Astyanax mexicanus: one gene and its partner. The protein of the gene in region 1 purifies or fractionates together with the protein of each later gene. This does not show direct contact. Links are inferred from orthologs where the notes say so. Each region holds a gene or a part of one and is shown on either strand. Other genes may lie near its edges.

What was found.
Region 2: the proteins of polr3d (region 1) and polr3h purify together in Homo sapiens (affinity purification with mass spectrometry; 6 studies listed by BioGRID and IntAct, counting the BioPlex papers as one, with this or other methods). This does not show direct contact. The link is inferred for Astyanax mexicanus from reciprocal best matches to the Homo sapiens genes POLR3D and POLR3H.

Annotation. Positions count from the first base shown.
Region 1 is NC_064426.1:19,991,231-19,998,611, reverse strand, and holds the start of polr3d (DNA-directed RNA polymerase III subunit RPC4), read right to left. Parts: upstream 3,013-7,381; 5' UTR 2,884-3,012; intron 1,726-2,883; 5' UTR 1,719-1,725; coding exon 1,557-1,718; intron 1,462-1,556; coding exon 1,418-1,461; intron 1,315-1,417; coding exon 1,160-1,314; intron 700-1,159; coding exon 575-699; intron 1-574. Other genes in the region: nitric oxide synthase-interacting protein, read left to right, coding at 4,533-4,602, 5,370-5,475, 6,548-6,629, 6,744-6,879. UniProt on the Homo sapiens protein: DNA-dependent RNA polymerase catalyzes the transcription of DNA into RNA using the four ribonucleoside triphosphates as substrates.
Region 2 is NC_064410.1:18,950,102-18,958,073, forward strand, and holds the start of polr3h (DNA-directed RNA polymerase III subunit RPC8), read left to right. Parts: upstream 1-4,961; 5' UTR 4,962-5,119; intron 5,120-5,778; 5' UTR 5,779-5,779; coding exon 5,780-5,890; intron 5,891-6,692; coding exon 6,693-6,789; intron 6,790-7,042; coding exon 7,043-7,129; intron 7,130-7,797; coding exon 7,798-7,861; intron 7,862-7,972.

The DNA of each region.
Region 1 (7,381 bases):
ACATGTATTCATGTCAGTTTGACTAGTTTTTTCAAAACTTTAGCGTATTTTGAAAAGGTCAAAAGGTCATCTGGAAAAACAAAAAATGTGTGAACTTTCCAATTGAACACTCCTGATAAACAATGACAACATGTGGAAAACCTTTGGCACATTCTAACGAATATGAATGAATATTCTACAAACCTCAACAGATTTGTATATATAAAATTAAGCACTGATTATGTTTTAAGGACTCTGATAAACAATGATAACAGATGAAAGCCTTTTGACCATCTCCAAAATGTGACAGTGTGTCCCAAATTGTATTAGACCTTCTGAAACATCACCAACCTTTACTCTAGTAGGCATCATTGTGCCAGTTTGTGCTTAAACTTAGACTGCCGCTTTTGGCTATATTTTGTTTTATTTTTGTTACAATATTATTATTTTATAAAACGTTTCTGGCCTTTAGAAATTATGAAGACAAATAACTTTTAAAAACATTATCCTTTTAATCACATTTCAGTCTGGACTGCCATTGCTAGATATTTAATTATTTCCCTTTTTGGAATTCATGCCCCATAAGCACACTTACGTTGTCTCTTTCCAGTTTGCGCAGAATCTCTTTGGTCTCCTCCTCAGTCTCCCTCTTCTCCTTCTTAATGTTGATGATGGGGGAGGGGCCAGTGTTGGGCGTTTCTCTTGCATCATCATATACACCTAACAAAGAAACAAAAAGTCAGAAAGCAAGAAAAATGCATGATTCTCTTTTACTGCTGAGAACTACTGGTACTACATAAAGTACACATTCGTGCTTCTTTATTTTTCTTTATTTTTAATGGTCAAATGGTTAAATGGCTGACCTTGTATAGTTAGCATAAAAATGAGTATTTAATTTGGCCCAGCCTGTTTATTAATACTAGTTTAAAGCAGTATTATTCTCCTGGGTTTCCCCTACAGTTGTGAAGTGTAATTCACTTCTATTTCATTGCAGTAAATACAAACTGAGTTTTGTGCTCCCACTCATGAACAGGCTGTACATATGCATTTGTTAATAAGCTGAGAGATACACTGTTGGCATCAGAAGTGATAGAAGCATGTGGAAATAGATGGTAGAGTAATACTAAATTTTTTGTGGTTCTTGTCATTGCATTTCCCCCTGACCTGTATTTTATCATACCTCTCCTCTTGGCCATCATTTCCGCAGGGCCCTGCTCAAAGATAGAGTGGGACTGAATGACCTCTGGGCGACCCCGACCTCTGCCACGCCCGTCTCGCTGCCGCCCTCGATCCGCATCTTTCCTTTCTCTCCTGGGTCCCTCATCAGCTTTCAATCTGCAACAAAACAGCACAGCTACTGTAAAGTAAGGCCAGCTAAGGGTCATTATATTACACTGGAAAAGACATTTGATTGCAATACACTCATGTAAAAACTTACTCTTCTTTACTTTTACGACCAATGATGTTAGGTGTGAATGTTTTCTGTGGGGCAGAACAAGAGAGAGAGCACAGTTGCTTAATACACTGACACTGTTTTTTTTTTTTTTTACCAGTGAAAACAATGCAATCTGGTGTACCTTTTTTACACCTCCCAGTGTGAGGTCTCTTGAGCGCATGGTGGGGAGACGACCGGGAGAGAGAGCAGCAGGCAGCCTGCGGCCAAGCACTGAACCTCTGCCACCACCTCCAGGCTGAGGGGTACGGGGTGGTCCAGAATCACCAGAGCCTGGTGTGGCCATTTTCACACTATAATTACATGCAAAATTTGACATTTAATCATTGCTGTGAATTGTTTAGTGCTTTGCATTACATAGTCAGTACGACAACTATTGTTAATATGGTGTTACATGCTGTGTAAAGTACTGCAGATTCATACTAATATTCCATAATATTCCATAATGGTTACTGATTAGTAAATAAAACAGTACACATACAGCTCATCACTGCTGTCCAATGAAAACCTCCATTTCTGTCTGTTTTATGTTTTGTGAATGACTTGAATCCTGTGGATGCTCTCTACACTGTGTAAATAATTATTGATGAATGGACCAATAGAAATGATCTATTAATGTGGAATGAACTCTTATTTTGCATTGAATTCCATGGAAATTATGAAAATTTTTGCCTTTTGCTGTAAAGTCACAGTTTTGGAGGAACTTGTTTTTTAGCGGACAGCGACAATATTCACACAGGATTACAATCAGGTCACTATTACTGCTGTCAGTGTATATATATTCTCAAGTTACTACAGTCATGCTGGAAAACACATTATATATTTATATTGGCTAAACATAAGACACATATACATATTCATGCTATATTAAAATTACTTTAAAGTTATTACTGTCAAACTGTAGATTCATACTGGATTAACAGTATGGATTATCTATACACTTAAAAACTACAAATTCAAGATAATTACATACTGGATCAGAACCTGTTAATTTTCATTGTGATTAATGTCAAACTTCATAACCCACAAACTGCATATTCAAACTGGCAAAATACACTAAATACACACTAGTTTTAACTACTTAAAATACCCAATATCAATAAGCACAAAATCACCACCATTCCATTTTTTTCATTATTATTATTTTTTTGGCTTTGCTATTGTAAGTCCCTTATTTGTGCCTTTTATTTAAAATATTTCCTGACAGCAGTAAGACGCCACCAAATTAACTGTGCAGACCTCGCTGTTTACACTGTTTTCTCACAGGGACTTTATGTAACCGTTCTGCTACAGGTAACTTAAAAGTGCTGAGCGGCTGCAGTTCCCTCCCTCACTGTAAACACATGGCAACACATGGCTAAACTGCCGGCCGCTCAGCCGCTGAACAGGGAGCCGGCGGGCTAGTTTAGCTCATAATTTACTGCCACTGAAGAAAACGACGAGGTATTTACCTGCGAGCTGCCTGCTGTCCTACCTGAGCTCCTCAGAGTTTCCAAATTAAACCAATAAAAATAAATCTCACGAGACACAAGTTAGAATAGGGCGGAGTTTTAGTAACGACACGAAAGAGGAAGTGACGGAAAACATGTCGGTGCGCTCAAATCGGCATTACCCCTACTCCCTGTTCCCTACTCCCTACTACATACTGCCTACTCTCTAGTCCTTTTTCCTGCTGCCTGTTCCCTACTGACTACTCCCTGTTCCCTACTCTCTACCTCCTGTTTCTTCTTGTTGACTACTCCCTACTGCTTGTTTCCAATTCCAATAGTGCCTCCCTACTGCCTAGTCTCTGTTCCTATCTACTTGTTGGCTACTCCCTGTTCCCTACTCTTTACTCCCTAATGCCTATTTCATACTCCCTATTCCCTACTTCCTATTCTCTACTCCTTAATGCCTACTTCTGTTCCTCACTGTCTACTATGCCTACTCCCCACAAACTGTTCCCTACTCCCTGTTTCCTCTCGCTACTCCCTTTTCCACTAGTCCTTACTCCCTACGTTTTATCAGAAGCATTTTTCAGTTGTGACTATTTTCTGCACATTTTCAATTTCCCCAGTTATATAAAAAATACGGTAAATGGAGCGCATGTGTTAATAAATGGTGGTGAATGAAGCTAAATGGCTTATAATAGTGTCTACTACTTACTACCAGTATATTCTTACTGTTTGTAAAGTATATTACAGTATTTTGCTAAAATTAAGCAAAACATTTTTCTACAACAAATGTTTTTGGTAAACAGAGACACTAGCAATACTGCTACTGTGTGATGACTTGTCTGTGAGCTGACGCTGAAGTAACCGCGTACTGGAGCTTTAAAATTATGTGAAACATTTAATATGGTTCCGTGTTGAGAAATTGAGATTTTTCAATATAAAAATATAAACCATTTACAATCTATGATTTGCTCAATTGCTATGAGCTCATTCATTTGGAATCATTCTGGAGTGCCCTCTAGTGACTGACAAACCCAGAACATATTCTCAAGTGGGTATTGTCTTCTGTAAAAGTAAGTTATATCTCTGAGTATATCTGCATTAAATCGATATTTATAAACTATCGCATAATATATTAGCGGTTTTCCACTACATACATTTCAATCTTTTATATATAACACATGTAATTAATATTTTATGATGTGGAGATTTCCTGTCCAATTATGAAGCCTGTCACACTTGTATTTTGAAAAAGCTTTCAAGCCGGTGGGTCACTTCCTATTCCGGCCAGCTTGGCTCGAGGTAAACAAACTGCACGGTTGATATTTTATAAGTACTTTATTTTTATACCTCTGATGTAAAAACAGTCTAAATACTGATAAATTGACGTCTACTATCCCGCTACCTCGAGCTACAGTTGAAGAGCGCACTGTTTCAGTTAGCTGTATTGTCGCTAACCTGGTTGTACAGGAGCAGCTCTGTTAGCAAGCTAAGCTATGTTAGCTAGCTAAACTAGCTGGAGTGTTTGTACTGCTTGGTTTTTTATGTCTTGCTAACGCTAGCTTAACTAGTTAGTTAAACTGTTTTAATAGTGTTGGTTGTGTTGATGGTAGCTAGCTAAGTGTAATCTTATAATTCTGCTTCATTAAAGCCCCTGAAAACCAAACATGACCCGACACGGGAAGAACTGCACTGCGGGAGCTGTGTACACCTACCACGAGAAGAGGAAAGATACAGGTCTGTTTCTGGCTCCTTTAAAATGTGTAAATGTTTTTTTTTCTCTGTTTGCAGCTTTGCACAAATACAGCTGCAGAAACACAGAACGAGTCCAGAAGGTGTAACAGCTCGACCCAATTCACCAATTTATATTAACTATTAAGACTTTTTTTCAAATTTTAAGCTCCCAAATTTTAAAGTCCTAAAAAGAGTCTATGATTCATGATGTGATTTAAACCACAGAATTGTTCACATGTCTGCTTTTTTAACAGTGGACTCCATTATCCTATAATGTAAACAAATCCCAGTTAAGAAAACACTTGCTAATAATGTGAAAAAAGTGAGCTTTAAGAAGACCTTCCTCCCTGTTCCCTACTTTCTACTCCCTACTCCCTGTTTCCTTCTTCCTACTCTCTGTTCCCTACTTTGTACTTCCTACTCTCTACTTCTTACTCCCTGTTCAATACTCCCTGTTCTCTTCTCCCTACTCCCTGTTCCATACTCCCTATTCCCTGTTACTTGTTCTCTACCTCCTACTCTCAGTTCCTTAGTTCCTACTCCTTGTTCCCTACTTCTTTCTCTCTGTTCTCTACTTCCTACTCCCTATTTCCTACTCTCTACTTCATACTCCCTGTTCCATACTCCCTGTTCACTACTTGCTACTCCCTACTACCTATTTCCTACTTCCTGTTCTTTTTTTATAATTTTCACCGCAATTAAAACATGATGTGGGAGCCAGAACTGTCTTCCTGTTTTGTCTTCTGATGGCCTCTGTCTATTCCCTACAGCTGCTTCTGGATATGGAACTCAGAGTGTGCGCCTGGGGAAAGACGCGATTAAAGATTTCGACTGTTGCTGCCTCTCATTACAGCCCTGCAGAGACCCGGTTGTAACGTAGGTGGACTTTCACAAGTTATAAACTTAAACTTAGATACAGCTAAAACAATATATGGGATTTAACTGAGCATGATGTCTGTATTATTCAGTAGTTAATATGTCTGGATCATTAAGAGTGAAATATGTTGTACAGCTATTTTTTAAAATTAATTTACAGCAGTGGAAACAGGGGTTGCATTGACCTCAACACGAAAACTGGCATTTGATGTACTGTCCAATAAACACTAGTGAATCTGCACCTGTAGAATTACGATTAGTAATAATGCCTTAATATGAAAAGTGATCATAATAAAAATAATAAATTGGATTTTTTTTCATCGTTATTTAATTGCACAGCATTTTACTTGCATGCTAACAATTTTATGTATATATGTATATTATGTTGCAACCTCCACATATTTTATATCTCTATCTTCATGTACAGTATCCAAATAAACGTTTGGACACACCTTAAAGCAAGTTAACAGCAAGTTAACTGCACCACAGATAAAAGCCACCTAAATGCTTCACTATTTTGGTTTTTTTAACACTTATGTTTACTACATGATTCCTTATGTTATCCTTCTTAGTCTGGATAACTTCAGCATTCATTTACAATGTAGGAAAAATCTGAATAAGAAGGTGTGTCCAAATTTAGTCAGGTACTCTATATGTCTCGTATATATTTTATTATATATCTATATATTTATGTTTTATCCTTTCTGTCTTTATCTTGATTTTTAAAAGGTTCCATAATTTCAATGAATTATTAGTCTTTATTTAATATCAATAAAAATAAATAATAATTTAATAAATTTAGAATTTATGTTTTAATAATTTAAAACAATTTAGAAACCTTTACTCTAAAATAACCTAAAATTATTAATTAGACAGTGTTTTTTAAATCTTAGCTTTTCCTATGTAGTTTTCTATTATAATACACAATTGAATTCATAATCACTGTCCTGATATTTCTGGGGTTGTTAAACCAAGGTCCTTTTGTAACATACAAATAAACATCAAAAAGACAAAACAAGATAATTCTCTAGGAGATCTAGATCTTTATTCTCATGTGTCTGTTGCTTTACAGTGAAGATGGATTCCTCTATGAAAGAGAGGCAATACTGGAGTACATTCTCCATCAGAAATTGGATATTGCTAAGAAGATGAAGGTTTGTGAAGGCTTTGACTGCAGCTCAACTCTTTACGTTCTGTATATTATACTACAATCCTTACAATATTAGTATTTATCTCTCCCTCTCTTTTATATGCTTCAACTCCCCAAGGCCTACGAGAAGCAGAAACAGGCTCTGAAGAGTGAGGGACAGCTGGAGTCCTGCTCAGAGGAGAGGGAGAAAGTAGAGAAGTTCAAGAAAAGAGAGGGCAGCATTGTCTCCAAACCAATCAATCCTTTTATTTCAGGTACAAGGGGACAAATTCAGTTCATGTTTGTGTAATACACTTATGTACATTTATGACCTCATATTATTTAATTTATTGTCATGCAGAGGAGTCTATATTCAGTGTTAAAAAGAATTTGTTAAATAAAATAACCACATTTGGTTCCCTAAAGATAAAGGTTTAAAGAAGACTTAAGACAATAGTAGGTAAGTAGGAAAATTAGGGTAATTGGTTTGGTGTAGGGCTGCTTTGCTTCAGTAGGACATGGCAAGCACTCCAATTTAGAGAACATTTGTACAAAACTGCTAAAACAGCTGAAAGAAATCTGCCTGGAGTGGGGAAATCTTTTTCCAGTCTATTGTTTTTTGTGGGGTACCTACACAGCTGCACTGGTCCAGATGTACAAGCTATTAGTAGAAGATATGAGAATATACAGTTTCTGATACAGAGAGAGAGCAACAGAAAAAAGGGATTTTTAGGTTTTATTACACCACCATTAAGGCTTAAAACAGCAGCTTGAAAA
Region 2 (7,972 bases), on another chromosome or scaffold:
TATATGTAACTCTCAATAGTAAAGAAAGTCTCTAATTTTAATGCTTTAAGGGCTTTCATTGAAAGGGCAGGGTATCTAAAGCATTTTAAAGCATAGCTGTTTACTCTTGATAAGTGGTGCAGCGAGCATCTTCCTGATCATTTTCTTTACCAGTTAAGATGGGGATTTTTAATGCCAGGCTTTTTAGAACCTGGGCCTATTGTAATGACTGAGTCAAACCTAAAGTACCTAAGGTTAAGTTAGCTGGCTAATCTGCAATTGGAGTTTCTTCTGGAGCTCGATCAGATCAGATGTTCAAATATTAATAAGGTCTAAACATCTGATGCTGATGACTCTCCATTCCTGCATCACTGCTGTCATCACTCCACGAGTCTGAGATTATCGATAGAAAACACTGTTTCTGTTTTTTTTTTGTGTGTGTTTGTTAGGAGTGTAAAACACAGGGCATCTCGTATGATAGTATCAGGATATGATGCCCATTATACCGATTACACCACAATACTTCGATTCTGTCAAAGACATACTTTACGGCATCTGTGTTACTGAAGAGAATAAAATACTCCTAAATAAACAAATACCAGGAATTATAGATGTATTAGTTTTTTCACACAATTTAACAACCAATATTCTTCACCATAGGTTTACCCTATTCATTTGATTATAGGGCCACCTCGTGTTTCAGTAAAAATATTCGTAACTGATGCCATGTATCGAAAATGTAAGATATATCACCATATCTATGTTTGTCCCACCTCTTGTTTGATGATCTGCTCTCTGTGACTTCTGACTGTAGTGGTTCATCTTCATGTCCTAAACGCACAACGGTGGTTTGTAGGCTGTTGTAACACACAGCCCCTGCCACACACTCCTAAGCGCTTTTGTAATTAAAGCTAATTTAAAGTCATTTCAGTCTCCATTAACTGTCTGGTAGGGAGTGGATTTAGTTACAATGGTGGTGAATTGAACCTGGTGTCACAATGACAACACACATAACCACTTTATTTACCATCTAAACCCAAAGCACTCCAAAACAACCCTGAATGACTTTTAACCATTTTATTTTTTATTTTCTTTACTATTAGTGATCGGATTTGTTGTGTTTTTTTTTTTTGTATTTTTGTGACTAATGGGTGAAAAAGCACTTGCTGACTTTTAAACAGGATTTTGACTGTCTGGAAATGAGTAATATAATGGCAATATTTATGTGAATGTTAAGAGGTGTGCAGGAGTGGTGGAGTAGTGTGCTGCTGGACGACGCTTGTGGAGGTGGAGGTGTGTGTCGGAGTTGGTGGAGTGTGTAGGTGTTTTAGGTCTGATTTGGGTTTTAAAGCCCAGCGCCTCTCAGAGTTGGGTAAAGGTAGTTGTAAATAAGGTTTAGGGTGTCTAGTTTGGGAGGAGGGGGTTCTGTACAATTTGCACCTTTGATTCCCTATCACTAATAAACCTTTGATTACTGAGATGAATAATCAATGAAATGAAAATGCTTAAACAAATGATTCAAAGATAAAGGTCAGATTGTTCTTTTAAAAAGCTGCTGATTGCTTGGCCTGCAGTCTGCTGTTCGGTCCTGACTCCAGTCTTTCCTCCATATTGCTCATTAATCTCTACTGAAGCTTCCACTAGAATAGAGATGAATAAAGCAGGGATCCTTTTATTAATTATTCAGTCTTCTGTGATTAGTGGCTGCCTGACGGCTTAACGTCTAGTAAACGAGGCTGATATATAACAGGTTTTCTCTGTTGGGGATGGAGCGTATTAGAGTAATTAAATATTGCTTTTGTATTTAAGTACTGTTCTTTACTCTAGTATTAAAATTAAACTCTTGCACTTTTACTTTTTAGCACTTATTTGGTTGTGTAGAAAGTTCAGAAACTGAACGCTGTATTCAGGCAAATCTACAGGCAAATCTGAGTCGTTTCCCAACTCAGATCTGTTAAGATAAGTATCCACACTGGTATTTAAAAGCGCTTCTGCGCGGTTATTGCTGTGGTATGGAGATTGGCATTAGTAACTAACCTTCAGCACTCTTCTCGGATTCCTGCAATCAGACTGAGACACGTTTGTATGAATCCAATCAGATTGAAACCACCTGATTTGGGTCCACTTTGCAAAAATCTGATTTATTTAGGTTTCTGGCTGTTCCGTGGATCAGCTGGTGCTCTGTTATGTGATTAAAAACTCTGGCCTATCCGTCAGTGATGTAACCTTTATTTCCTGCTGAAGTAAAGCTGTACACGAACAGTGAACACACCTGTTATTTATGTATCTGACATCTGATCTCTAATCTACAACCAAATATTTGTCGGAATCGGACTCCATCTCTCTGTTCTGATTTTAATGTTTATTAATTTGTGTTTTGTAGATGGATGTGATTTGAATGCTATCAGAATCTGAACTTTCCTAAATAAATGAAAATAAAATAAATCAGCTAATGAGAATGTGCTTGTTTTGGCTGGATTTGTATTAAAATGCGTACACAGACACACACACCATTGTGAAACTGTAAGTGTGTTAAATCACACCAGTAATGCATGATCAGGTATTGTACATTAATCTAACTGTTTGAATGCATGTAAACACACTCTGTATTAAACATTAAATTGTTTTAGATTTGCTGTTCTCTGAGTTACAGATACACTTTTACACTACATGGAAAAAAAGTAATGGGACACTTGCTACTTTACTGTTTCTTCTGAAATGAATGGAATTTAAAAAAAAAAAAGTGTATCCTGCTTTTGTTTGAGTTAGTGTCTCTACTGTCCAACAAAGACTTTCTACTAGATTTTAGATTTTGGAGCATTGTTTTGAGGATGTGATTGCATGAAGTGACAATAGCTTTAGCCTTTATCTAATAGCTTTAGCCTTCTATTTATTAAATAGAAGGGTTGTCCACAAATGTCTGGAAATAAAGAGTAACTAAAGCTCAAAGTCACGTATTGTCAATAGATATGTAATAGAAAAATCCTGTGGTTCTTTAGGCTTAAGTGGGGGAAGGGAGTTATGATGCATGACAGATGTACAGAGGGCATGAGCATATTACGTAATCATACACTCACTCTGTAATGCCTGTGTGAAGTTCTGGCTTTATGGGTTGTTTATCACATGTAACCATGTAGGTGTTCAAAGAGATCCCAGTCAAAAGTCACTTACTAATCAATACAGAGACACTACTTAAAATGATTACTATTGATGAAAATTAATATTAGATTGTTGACTGCTAGACATGGCTCTGACATACTCAAAAACATTGTGCCCAGTTGGCAGACTGTAAAAAATGCATCGTTGGAATGAGGGAATTAGGGGGGTTTTGATGAATTGCCTGCCATATAGGTCAACTGCCACCCACCATCCTCTTCGTTTTCAGTGGTGTCATGAAGAAGAACCCTGGACTGCTACAGACTGGAAACATATCGTCTTCAGGTTGGGATCTGATGATAGTCAGGTTTGAGTATGAAGGTCTTGTGGTATGACAGGTCTTTGCGTATGACAGTTGGTCACTGCTAGAAGTGATCTGAGGGACACTAACAGCTCAGAGATACATGCACGACACCCTGTAGACAGGTGTGATAGCATGGCTAATAGCAGGGCTTCCAACTGGCATTCAGTTCAGTATTAATGGGAGCGGCTGGGACGCAGCTTCAGCAACCAACAAGTGTAGAGCAGGATCTACTGCAACAACTGCAACGTATGTGGGTAAATATGCTGCAGGATGCCACACAAAACATGTACACCACCATGTCCAATCGCATCTCATCTTGTATTCAGGCTAGAGGCTCCTTTAAATTACAGCATTTTTTCTCAATAAATGTATTAATCCTTTTATATTAGAATCACTCTAATATTACTATGGGTGTAATTTATGTTTTGAATATTTATGTTTATTCTTTTTTTTTTAGCTTTCTGCCCCAAAGTTATAAATGCTGGCATATTTAAATTCAGTCATGTTTCACTGATTCTTGAGATATGGGACAAAATGTGGCTTACGTTGAAAAGACTTCTTGGTGTTAAAAATAAAGAAATTAGGGGGTCACGTGACACAAATGGCAGACTAGCAGTTTGGCCAACATGATCCAATAGCCCCTCTGAATATTACAAATAGTTACCACTGCGAACTTGATAACAAGAGGCTAAAAGTAGTATAATAGTATGTTGCAATGCCAGGTGGACAAATGAGGCTTAAACTTGTGTCTAAAAACAGTAATAGAAGCACAGTGGTTACTTTTCCACTAAAGGTTTCAGCTCAGCTATTGATATGGTATAACAACAACAACAATGATAATATTAATAATAATAACAATAACAATAATAATAATAATAATAAGTTTTAGGTGTAGTAATGTTTTTTTTTAATGGAAGACATACAGTATGTGATCAGTGGTGATTTATAAACAGAGTGTATAATAATAATACACTATATTTTTTCTGTTCATATTTTTTACCCTTTCATGACCTGAAAGTGATGGAAAAATATGCAAGAATTCTGTCAGTAATGCACAGAAAAAGAAGAGTCTAATATTCTACTATAAAGTCTATTTAGCAAATAAATCAAATTAATTAAAATATTTATTTATTGTTTATTTATTATATATTTTATTTCCATTGCATTGGAAACCTGTGTGTAATATTTTATATTTCATAATGACCTTTTTTATTTCATAAATCATCCATGAACAGTAAAAAACATGATAAAAAATGTTCTAAATCAAATTAATTAAATTAGTTAAAATTAGCTGTTACTTTGCTGTTACTCAATGGCTCTAGTACTACTGTTTTTCCAGTGCAGTGGACCTAGTTGCTGTTTCATTGGTTTATTAACTTGTTGATTGGATGGTTCATGGTCTATTCTGATGAGCAACAGCTCTCAAATAACGTTATGTGCAACAAAACATTTAAAAATAAAGAAAATCCTGGTGTTCATTGTAATGGATGCAGGTCTGAAAGGGTTAATATCTACGCTGAATACGTCACATGTTTTGCCGTAAACCGTCCAGCCTTGTCGTAAAGCCGGAGCACACGTGAGAGGACAGCGGGAGTTTAGTGTAAAATGAACCGGATTCGGATTAAATCTGTATCAGAACTGAGGCTGTAGAGCAGTGAGGAGTTCACTCAGAGGAGGAAGGTGAGCTTTGTCTGTTTAGCGAGGCTGGAGCTTCGTGCTGCCTCAGGTCCAGCCTGACTTCCTCACTGCAGCTCGATTTAAGGTGGAGCGGATTATTCCAGGCTCAAATTCAGCCTCGTGTCGACCTGTTTATTTACCTGTTTCAGCTCTAGAACTTCAGGCTCACCCTTAAGAAGTGTATTAACCATAGTAAATAAAGTTATGACACGTTTAACAATATTTAAATAAAAATAAAGAAATAATAAAGAAAAACTCAATCTAGCGCTTCTCCGGCATCTTCCAGCATATCTGACCTGTTTAAATCAGCTGTGTTATTAATCAGCTGTATTATTAATCTGCTGTGTTATTAAACAGCTGTATTATTAATCTGCTGTGTTATTAAACAGCTGTGCTAAAGAGTTATGTTTTTATCAGCTGTGTTATTAATCAGCTGTTATTAATCAGTTGTTTTAATAATCAGTTCTGTAATTAATCTGATCTGTTATTAATTAGCTGTGTTATTAATCAGCTGTATCGTTAATCAGCTCTGTTATTAATTAGCTGAGTTATTGATCAGTTCTGTTTTTATTCACTTGTGTTATTGATCAGTTTTGTTATTAATTATTTCTGTGTTATTAATCAGTTGCATTATTAATCAGGTGTGTTATTATTCATTTCAGGATGTTCGTGGTGGTGGAGATGGTGGACACGGTGCGGATTCCTCCCTGGAACTTCCATCGACAGCTCAACGATGCCATTGCTGAAGAACTCAATAAGAAACTGGCCAACAAGGCAAGACCTCCATCACTATTACAGCTTTGTTCACAACAGGGCATTATGGTCACCTGAATGTTTCTAAACTCATTATCCAGTTTCAGCTCCACTTAGCATAAAGGACACGGTGTAGTTCTTTAAATACAGACTGTAGTCCTGTATCTGTTTCATACTTCATCATGCTCCGTTCCTTACTGGTAAGAGTGTTTAAACATGTTAGTATCACTGCTGGACTTAGGAAAGTCCATCAACAGAACTGTCCTGTGGTTAGTGTCCTGTGAACATTGTGAACCAGTGTTCTGTTTTTAGGTGTCCTGTGGTAAGTGTTCTATGGGCGGCATCATGTGAGCATCGTCTTGTGGAACAGTGTCCTGTGGTTAGTGCCCTGTGAGCATCGTCTTTTGTAACGGTGTTACAGTGAAACATTTAGAATAATTAATGAATTAGGTGTTGAGGTTATTCAAGAAAAAAAAAACTGATTAGATGCAGCACTATTGTAAATAATCATCCAGGAAAGTTTGAGCGGTAGATTTAGCATATATGTAAGGCTCACGTGGTGATTTCTAAGTAAGTTTGGATCTTGATTAAATGAAATGCCGACTGTAATCTAGAATCTAAATGTACATTACCACCTTAGTTTACTGTCTGCACAGTGCTCTGGGCTGCCAGGACTGGAGTCTGACACACACTGGATGAAGCTCGTAGAATAAACTCAAGGGAGAAATGCTGACCTAAAGCAGCTAGACTCTGTTTTAATGATTAAGATTTGATGTTTCAATAACTGTCCGTTTGATGTAGTAATCATGTCTCCTTATTTTAGGTCGTGTATAACGTTGGCTTGTGTATCTGCTTGTATGACATCACCAAACTAGAGGATTCCTACATTTTCCCCGGGGATGGAGCCTCCCACACTAAAGGTATTTTTGGGGGATTTGGAGACCTCTCTGGTCAGAATGTGTAATTACACAAAGCATGGGGAAGAGCACTTTCAGGTTAATGCAGGTTAATAAAACATTGGGCAGACAGCTGTTAGACGGCAGTAGCTGTTTAGAGTTTTTTAGAAAGCCTGTGTTGTTTTATTCAGACTCTCTTTCTGTTTGAAACTGATTCTGCCGTAGATCTTAAATATTTCTGTAATATCAGTGTCTTTGCTTTGTTTATTTGGAACAGTGCATTTTAGATATGTGGTGTTTCACCCGTTCCTGGATGAGATTCTGGTGGGGAAGATCAAATACTGCAGTCAGGAAGGAGTGCACGGTAAAATTACACACCACTACACTTTTACTATCTCTCTCACTCCCTCTCTCTCTCTCTCTCTCTCTCTCTCTCTCTCTCAATAAGGCCTGTATCTGTTTCTTAATCTCTCTGTCATGCTGTTACACCTCTGACACTCAGAAATGTATTCCATATAGTCTCAGCTTTTAGTTTATTAAGTGAGAAAAATGGTGAATTGGTTCCTGTAAGGTTGTCACTCTCAAAAAATGCTAAAAGAACAAGTCAGCTTATCAGTGTACACAGTTTTTATGTTTAAACAAATTCACATCCTTTGTAGAGACACTTTACCCGTTAAAGCCTGAATCATCAAATAACAACAGAAATGTAGAGTTATTTACTGCTTCTGACTTTAAATAATATACTTTACATATTTTACTTGTATTTTATGTAATAGTTGATACATTAGAAATTTATTGCTCACAGCGTTTTACAGAACTTGCAGAACTTTTACAAACATACATAGAACACAGAATCGTTTAACCCTTATACAGTGTCCTATATACAGATTATATAGGATAAAGTATGCTTACTTATTCTATTATATATTTAAGATTTTTCCATTATGTTTTTTTTATTTAGAAATATTATTTAGTTATATTATTAGTTGATATTTAAAATAATTATCATGTGTGCATGTGTGTGTTTCACAGTCAGTCTTGGATTCTTCGATGACATCCTAATCCCACCAGAATCACTACAACAACCTGCTAAATTGTATCCTGCCTGGATAATGTTGATGGTCATGTTGATTATGATTATGATTATTATGATGATGATCATGATGATGATGAAAATTACTGTGTATTGTCAAGAATTTGGGCGAAA